2 linked regions of the Ovis aries genome follow. The protein of the gene in region 1 binds, or shares a complex with, the protein of each later gene. Links are inferred from orthologs where the notes say so. Each region holds a gene or a part of one and is shown on either strand. Other genes may lie near its edges. The genes, in order: CFAP36 and ARL3.

Region 1 (4,596 bases):
TTATTGGTAAGTTTCTAAATAATTCCTTTCACAACAGGTTCCAGATTATTTTACCATATTGGAATTTTGCTGATCCAAATTTTACTGAAACTGACTCTTTCTTTATTACATATAAATCAATAATGAAACAAAAATGAATAAAAACAAATGTTTACTCAATGATGATATGTGTGAAACAATGTAGATCAGAAAGATATATATTCCTTCAAAAAGCTACAATGTGATCAAGGAAAAGACAAATTCATGAACTGTAAACCATAAGCCACCTCTAAAAAAAATTCCCCCATTCTTTCTAAAATACAAAACTAACATTGGTAATTTTCTATTTAAAACTCTTCAGTTCTTTGCCTAGCGAATAAGTATAGAATATTTAGAATCCCAGACAAAATTCTTCAAGATTGGATCCCAAGTCTCATCTCCCACCACTCCAAAACCCAAACTTTGCCCTCATAACAGGACACAATTACTTGGAATGTGGACAAATGTAAAAACATAGAAGGTGCTTCAAAGCCCCAGGTCTTTGCTCAAGCCCTTCTTGGATCTCTTTGCCTTTACCCAATACCTCTTCTCCCAACCATTCTTCAAAATACTGTAAGAGGCACATTCTCCATGATCTGCTGCTGCTGCTGCTAAGTCACTTCAGTGGTATCCAACTCTGTGGGACCCCACAGACAGCAGCCCACCAGGCTCCCCTGTCCCTGGGATTCTCCAGGCAAGAACACTAGAGTGAGGTGCCATTGCCTTCTCCGCCATGATCTGCTACCCACTCCCAACTCCCTTGGCTATTCAGATTCCTTCCTCAGAACTATTTGAATACACAGCACCATACGTCCACCTTTATAATAACATCTGGTCACACTATATTTAAAGTCCATTTACCTGCTTGTCTTCCCCACCAAATTATAAACTTCTCAAGGACAAAGATTTGTTTTATTAACTTTTCTAACCTCAACTTCTGGCTCAAAGACACTCAATAAATGTTGAAATAAATGCTGATATTTACAAAGTTATATAAAACTAATTTTTAAATTACCTAAGGTGAAGAATACCTCATTAACAAAACAAAGTCAGTGAAATATAAACACTATTATTTCAAGTGCCACTGAAATGTTACTTCCATTTCTCGTGGCATCTATTTCTACATAGCACTGGGCATACATGCAATATAGCAGCTAATAAACCTGTTTTCAGATAATTTTGAAGCCAAATTACTACATTACATGTTTACAAGTCTGAAGATTACTATTTCCCTATAAAATTACACAATCAGGTGTGTTATAGCTGAGATGCAGCCACTTTTAAAGTGTGGGAATAAAAATTTTTTATTTTATTTTTTTTTTTTTTTTTTTGCCATTTCAGCATTTAGGTTCAGTGGGATAAGTGGAATCAAACGGTGACATAATTTCTTTTTTCTCCTAAAGGAGATCAGAACACCACATGCTTCCTCAGTCTCAGAATAGCATTTTAAATTCTTTAATAGAGCAGAAATAAAAGTTATTTTGAACTTCTTTTAAAAATTACCTGCGAGAACAATACCTAGTAAATACTATTTGAATGTTGCTCATGGCAATGAGAATGTAATGAAAAGATTCAGTGGTCAAAGTAAATTTCATCTTTACCAGATTCATGGAAACTTAAGGTTGAAAGGACTCTTAACAGATCATTCATGATAACCAACCATTTGACATTTGAATTCCCCTCTGTAATAACTCCATTAAGGTGCTATCAGATTCATTCAAAACACTGCTAAGGCCTAGGGAACTCATTACCTTCCGAGACGGGCGATTTATCCAGGATACTATCTGTTATGAAGCACTTCCTTCACAGAAATTTGTTTACCTCTAGCTTGTACCCACGGACGCTAGCTCTAGCCCACTGAACCTTAAAAAAAACAAGTCTAACCCCTCCAACATACGACAGACGTTCGAACGATTAATGGATATTACTACCCTTAAGGTCTTGGCCAGCTAAACAACCAGGACAACAGCCTTAAATTACTCTTATGACATCGCTTCTGGTTCCTTTTCCATAAATGGGCTCCAAACTATCTCTAAGAACTGAATGCAAAGCTCCAGAATCTGGAGGTACTCTTTCCTCACAGGGAACGTTATGCCACGTCTTCATATCTCATTTGTTGGAAGATACCCTCCATTTTTGGTATAACCGAGACAGAGAGCTCAAAAAGGGCAATACAGGCCACCGAGATTACCTGCTCTAGGCCTACCGGAGTAACCACATATCCCTCGCCCACCCACTTTTTGGCCAACAGTTGGAATCAGAAGGAACTCTGAAGCAAACTGACATCTCTCCTCCCAAGTCACTGTGGAAGCTGATGAAGAAAGAAACCCACAGTCACCTGGCCAAGGCAGAAAGGTGCAGGATGGAGTGGGAGGCCCAACACAGCATTAAAGTCTACTGTTTCTCGAATGCGTGCTTGGGCCCAGCGGGGAGAGGTATGTCGTCCCCCTTTTCATTACCGTGGAAAAGACAGGCGCGGTGACAGCAACACAGTCTAAAAATCAAGCTCTAAACCTGGTCGACAGGAGGGGAGATCGAGGAGATGAGAGGCGGTGTGTGGAGAGGCTGTTGGTGTGAGAGAGGTGAGCAAGGACTGACGATTCGAGATTCATATTTTACCTTCACATTTCTGCTCCACGAAGTCCAAGATGGGGATGGACCAGTCCGGGCCCCGCAGGAATCCCGCGATGCTCTCCACCACCCATTCCACCTCATCCTCTTCTTCCGCAGCCATTCCGCCCCCGCGGGGCGCCGCGGAAGCCTAGGCCAGATCCCCGGATCCTAGAAGGCCTTTCGGCCGCAAGGAACCGAGAGGACAGGGAAACGATGTGCCCCAGCAGTCTCCGCAGTCACCTGGCTAAAATCTACAAACCACTTAACGTAAAACGGTCGCTATGGCAACAAGAGGAGCCGCCTCCGCCAGCCGCCCGGAAGTGAAGCCAGCTTCCTCAGAGCCTGCGCAGCTTAGAAAGTGGCATTTGAAGAATGTTTCCGATTGGCTGGGAAGGAGTAGAAGCCAGTCGAAAGATAGCCTTCATCTCATTGGCCCGGAGCTGTTGTAGCCATTGGCTGGAAATCCTGGAAGGAATCTCAATGTTCTCACGGGAGAAGTCCGTGGGACCAAGGATAAGAAATGGTGCCACGAAGGCCCGCCTCACCTGGTCTCTGACTGAAGGTTTTAAAGGCTTCAGTTCACGGTTGTATCCCCACCGCTCACTCCCGACCATTTTCCGACCCGCTGAGCCAGACACGTTTGTAATTGAAAGGTTGATTTTTGAAAATACAAACCCGAGGAAAGCAGTTTCTGTAAGATTTGCTGATTGTCCCAGCGCCAGTTTGCATCCCGTAGCTGCCAGCGAGTCTTTACGGCGTCAGTCAGTTCAGCTCAGTCGCTCAGTCGTGTCCGACTCTTTGCGACTCCATGAATCGCAGCACGCCAGGCCTCCCTGTCCATCACCAACTCCCGGAGTTCACTCAGACTCACGTCCATCGAGTCAGTGATGCCATCCAGCCATCTCGTCCTCTGTCGTCCCCTTCTCCTCCTGCCCCCAATCCCTCCCAACATCAGTCTTTTCCAGTGAGTCAACTCTTCGCATGAGGTGGCCAAAGTACTGGAGTTTCAGCCTCAGCATCATTCCTTCCAAAGAAATCCCAGGGCTGATCTCCTTTAGAATGGACTAGTTGGATCTCCTTGCAGTCCAAGGGACTCTCAAGAGTCTTCTCCAACACCACAGTTCAAAAGCATCAATTCTTCGTTGCTCAGCCTTCTTCACAGTCCAACTCTCACATCCATACATGACTACTGGAAAAACCATAACCTTGACTAGACGGACCTTTGTTGGCAAAGTAATGTCTCTGCTTTTGAATATGCTCTCTAGGTTGGTCATAACTTTCCTTCCAAGGAGTAAGCGTCTTTTAATTTCATGGCTGCAGTCACCATCTGCAGTGATTTTGGAGCCCCCCAAAATAAAGTCTGACACTGTTTCCACTGTTTCCCCATCTATTTCCCGTGAAGTGATGGGACCAGATGCCATGATCTTCGTTTTCTGGATGTTGAGCTTTAAGCCAACTTTTTCACTCTCTTCCTTCACTTTCATCAAGAGGCTTTTAGTTCCTCTTCACTTTCTGCCATAAGGGTGGTGTCATCTGCATATCTGAGGTTCTTGATATTTCTCCCAGCAATCTTGATTCCAGCTTGTGCTTCTTCCAGTCCAGCGTTTCTCATGATGTACTCTGCATATAAGTTAAATAAGCAGGGTGACAACATACATCTTGACTACTCCTTTTCCTATTTGGAACCAGTCTGTTCCATGTCCAGTTCTAACTGTTGCTTCCTGACCCGCATATAGGTTTCTCAAGAGGCAGGTCAGGTGGTCTGGTATTCCCATTTCTTTCAGAATTTTCCACAGTTGATTGTGATCCACACAGTCAAAGGCTTTGGCATAGTCAGTAAAGCAGAAATAGATGTTTTTCTGGATCTCTCTTGCTTTTCCATGATCCAGCGGATGTTGGCAATTTGATCTCTGGTTCCTCTGCCTTTTCTAAAACCAGCTTGAACATCAGGAAGTTCATGGTTCC
Region 2 (4,327 bases), on another chromosome or scaffold:
AGAATGCTATGAAGATTAAATCAGATGATGTGTGAAGCATGCACATAGAGGGAACTCAAAACAGTTGTTGTGTTTATGTTTCTACTTTTCACCGACCATTTTTGACCAGAAAACATAATCTTGGGAACAATCTTCAAATGTCAAACATGCTTGATAAATATCACTAGCTTTATATATTCAGAAATTACTCCATAAATAATTCCTGAATGGAGGACTCATCTATTAAATAACAGTGATTGCTGCTGCTGCTGCTAAGTCGCTTCAGTCGTGTCCTACTCTGTGCGACCCCATAGACCGCAGCCCACCAGGCTCCCCCGTCCCTGGGATTCTCCAGGTAAGAACTCTGGAGTGGGTTGCCATTTCCTTCTCCAATGCATGAAGGTGAAAAGAGAAAGTGAAGTCGCTCAGTCGTGTCTGACTCTTAGCGACCCCATGGACTATAGCCTACCAGGCTCCTCTGTCCATGGGATTTTCCAGGCAAGAGTACTGGAGTGGGATGCCATTGCCTTCTCCTAACAGTGATTGCTGCTGTTGCTAAGTCGCTTCAGTCGTGTCCGACTCTGTGCGACCCCATAGATGGCAGCCCACCAGGCTCCTCCGTCCATGGGATTTTCCAGGCAAGAGTGATTAGTTATGCACAAAAATTACGGTCAATTTAGTATTTCACCAAGGACTTGGCATCCTAAGGTAGGGGTAAAATAGCTGAACTTCTAGGGGTTCAGAGAAATCAATAATGTGTTTTTGTTGCTGTATTCCAAATTTTAAAAGAATAAATATGTATTAGTCATAGCTGAAGGATTAAGACAATAAATAAACCTGGAACTCCTGAAGAGTTACTATGGGGACCCATGGGTATCAGATATGACATACTTAATCATACCACTGACCCTTTAAATTCCGTGTTCCACTTATCGAGTTCTAAAAATAGCTCATACTTTTGGAGATAGAAAAAAAGTGTATTTTGGAAACCAGATGAAGACTCCTGAATAATCTGCCCTAATTCCTTATTATTTATTGTAGGAAAAAAAATTAAAAAAAGAAAAACAAAATCTGTCTTGATCACTGAATACAACAGTTGTATACAATAGTGTTGTGTACACTGTCAATTTGTTGTATAAAGTGTCAATCTGTACCTGGAAACATAAACAGTGGTTAATTTATTGTGGCTTGTAATTATAAATTAAACAGTCATGAAATTACACAGTCCACTTCACTGATAAACAAACTGGGAAAAGTTAGCCCGCTCTCATGCGTTTCTCCTTTATGATGCCATGCCTTTCTCTGTTGGTTTGGCATGCCTTTTTCATTTCAATTCTAGTTATTTTCTGTGTAAATATTTATGTTTGTACTCATTTGTTGAGAAAAACTTAGCCTTTAAATGGACAGCTCATGTATAAACGATTAATAAAAAGCAAACATTTAAAAATCTGTTTAGCCTGAGGTTAATAAAACTGCAGTGTAGCAAGTGTTGAAATGTGATTGGCAACTTCAGATCCAATAATGCTACTTCTTTAACAATGTGACAATTTTAAATCAATTGAAATAAATTTTTCCTATCAAAATTTACTCACTGGATAATCTAACCAAATGTACATGTGTTTTTTTTTTTCCTTCTGGACATCTAGCTTTTTCTTACTTCATAAATCAATAGAAGTGGTTCAACAGTTCTAAAAGTCAAAAAGGGACTGGAGTTGGGACAGGGAAGGAACTGTAAGCTTGAGTGCTAGCTTTCTGCAGCTGGTAAATTTATCAGCCTGCTCCAAACGCTCCGAAATAAATTGTTTCTCCCACTAGTTTTAAAACCACTCAATTTCATTTTAATACCCTCCAATTAAGTGCAGAGAAATCAACAAGGAACAGTGTCAAGCGTCAAATACGTCACATAATTTACGTATTTGGGAAAGCTTTATTCTGGCCTGACAGAGACAAGGCTAGCCCCAAACTGATGGCCACTCTCCTTTTTTAATCTACTCCAAACTGAGACTAAGGCCTTTGCTTCTGGTGTGGTCATATGCAAAGGAAGGTGGCAACAGGTCCGAAGTAAATACTAAGGATCGGGCAGCAAATCTGTCTCCACCAACACGTATTGAACAGGAGACTGGCTATCACCAACAACCAGACCTTGCAGAACCCTCAGGAAATAAAAAACTCGGGACTGCAGAAGCGCGCCCGCCACTCAGACACCGAGACGGCTTAAAATACACCAGACATCCCTTCCAAGCGGCACCTCTTTGTGTCCGGGGATTTACACCCTTACCCCCCAGAGGCCCTCACACCGCGAGGAACAGGAGAGCTAGGCTACCATCTCCCCTGGTACCGCCAGCGCGACCTCAAAGACAGCAGCGCTGGCCCTTCTCCCCGCTTCTAGCCGGGCACTGGTGAACCCCACTCTCCTGCGGCACTGGGAGGCCGATTCCTTGGGAAGATTTAATCCTGCGTGCAGAAGCTGCTCTCCGCAGCTCCTCGGATCCGCCCTCATCCCAATCCCCAGAGTAATGATGGAGCCCTGGCTCCGTACCGCGACAACCCAGCACCCTTCCAGCCCCTTCCCCTAGTTTCGGACAGGTTGCAAGCTCCGCCTTCCTCCCCAGGCCCAGATTCTCTCCAGGGCCCACACTCGGGACTCCCTGCCGCCCCCCGAAACCAATCCAGGACCCGGACATCAGGCTGAGCGCCAGTCCGTTCCCTCCTGTCTTTAAGCGCAGTGCCCTGCCTTGGGCCAGGGGAAGGGAAGCAGGTGACCGACCAGCTCCGGAGGGACCCAGGCCCTCACACTCACCATCCTCCCGCCGAGTCCCTCCTCCTCCTCCTCCTGCCTCCCCCGTTACCAGGGGCAACTGCGACGGCGCCGCCCCCGACGTCCCCCGTACGCACGGCAGAGGAGCAAAGCAGCAGAACGGGGCGGGGTCCAGCTCCGCTTTCCCCAATGTGCGCAAGCGCGTCAATGTGCCCTCCCACTGCGCAGGCGGGCTGCTGGAGAGGCGGGAGAAGGCGGCGGGCTGCACAGACCTGGGGAATGGTGAAACCTCGCCCACGTGGCTGCCGGGGGCCACCCGGCTTGTGATTGGTCCAGAGGGAGGGCGTGCGGGCGGGGCGAGGGGAGGTTCCCGGGCGGAGGCCAGAAGTGCATCCTGGCTTGGCTGCCAAAGCGGGCTGCTTCTGGAAGCAGCTGTGTCAGTCTGTTTCTCCCGGGTCCAGGTAAGGATCTTGAGAGGACGCCTCCTGCAACATCTACCTGTGCCAGGTTTTATTCCCCAGATCCCAGGAGGGAGTTTGCATTTCTGTCTTGACTCTGCCCAGGCGAGGCTGCGGCGCGGGCTGGGCTTGCACCTGCCAAAGCCACGTGGCAAGAGAAGGAGCTACCTGTGGACCCCTTATGGCCTCCAGTACCTTCGTGTGCCAGGCTGAGGAGCGGGGGCGTCATGGGTTGCTCGCTCGTCTGCACACATCCGTGTTAGAATCCAGGCTGGAGGAGTCCTGGTGGTGGGAGGCTGCCTACCGGAGGGCAAGAAGCTGCCTGAGGACTGGCCGTGAGGGCTGGGATGAGGTGATCGCTTACGGGGGTGAAAGGTGTTTGGAATGGATGGTTTTGCTGAACTAAGTTGGCAGGGTCGGTGCGCCGTCTGCAGCCCTGAAGGAGGCAAAAATGGGCCTCCACTTCTAGACAAGAAAGAATGAGAGAGATTGTGGGTGCTATTTCCCACCCCTTCCCCATGCAGAGAAGAATTACCATATTTGTGCCAGCTCTTAGTCTAGACTCTGGAGACACAGCAGGGGGCTAAATCGGCCCTCATGGAAATCACATCCTTCCTAGTGAGATGGTTTTCATACAAGATTTCACTTCATTCTCACAGCCCTAGAAATTGATTATTTTAAGGGTTAGAGTGGGGACCTGAATCCAGTACTTTCTGACTCTTGAGGAATTATTATTTTTGGCTGCTCCATGCGTGGCATGTGGGGATCTTTGTTTCCCAAGCAGGGATCGAACCTGTGCCCTTGCAGTGGAAGCAGAGTCTTCACCACTGGAATGCCTGGAAAGTCCTTGGGCTTAGCTATTGTTAATAGTTTCCTCCAGGTTTTGGGCTTTGCTGCTTTTAAGACCAGCAGGTTTTCAGCCTAGTTAAGATCGTTGGAATGAAGGCAGATTTTCCCTGAATGGTTCTTAACATTTTATGCATTCAAGTAAAGTTTCCACCTATCTCTAGCCTGCTGGTTCTTCTGTGAAAAAGGCAAAGCAGACTTCTCTTCCAAAATTGCCTGGAGTCTAACATCATGGCTGCCAGGGGGTCATTTGATTGTACATAGGCATATACTACCAGGGCCTGCT

The links.
Region 2: the proteins of CFAP36 (region 1) and ARL3 are in contact, whole or in part, in a crystal structure (PDB 4ZI3), measured with the Mus musculus proteins. The link is inferred for Ovis aries from reciprocal best matches to the Homo sapiens genes CFAP36 and ARL3. Residues at the interface, in NP_080016.1 of Mus musculus: Glu44, Glu45, Ser46, Lys47, Leu48, Thr51, Glu52, Lys58, Val61, Glu62, Leu65, Glu76, Phe79, Gln80, Cys83, Thr84, Ala88, Lys89, Leu97, Val100, Leu101, Ala103, Glu104, Asp105, Phe106, Thr107, Ile108; in NP_062692.1 of Mus musculus: Leu3, Leu4, Ile6, Leu7, Arg8, Lys9, Leu10, Lys11, Ser12, Arg19, Lys35, Glu40, Pro47, Thr48, Gln49, Gly50, Phe51, Asn52, Ile53, Lys54, Trp66, Ile74, Tyr77, Ser80, Tyr81.

What each region holds. Positions count from the first base shown.
Region 1 is NC_056056.1:68,550,796-68,555,391, forward strand, and holds the start of CFAP36 (cilia- and flagella-associated protein 36), read right to left. Parts: upstream 2,896-4,596; 5' UTR 2,753-2,895; coding exon 2,638-2,752; intron 1-2,637. UniProt on the Homo sapiens protein: May act as an effector for ARL3.
Region 2 is NC_056075.1:23,057,030-23,061,356, forward strand, and holds the start of ARL3 (ADP-ribosylation factor-like protein 3), read right to left. Parts: upstream 2,802-4,327; 5' UTR 2,783-2,801; coding exon 2,780-2,782; intron 1-2,779. UniProt on the Homo sapiens protein: Small GTP-binding protein which cycles between an inactive GDP-bound and an active GTP-bound form, and the rate of cycling is regulated by guanine nucleotide exchange factors (GEF) and GTPase-activating proteins (GAP).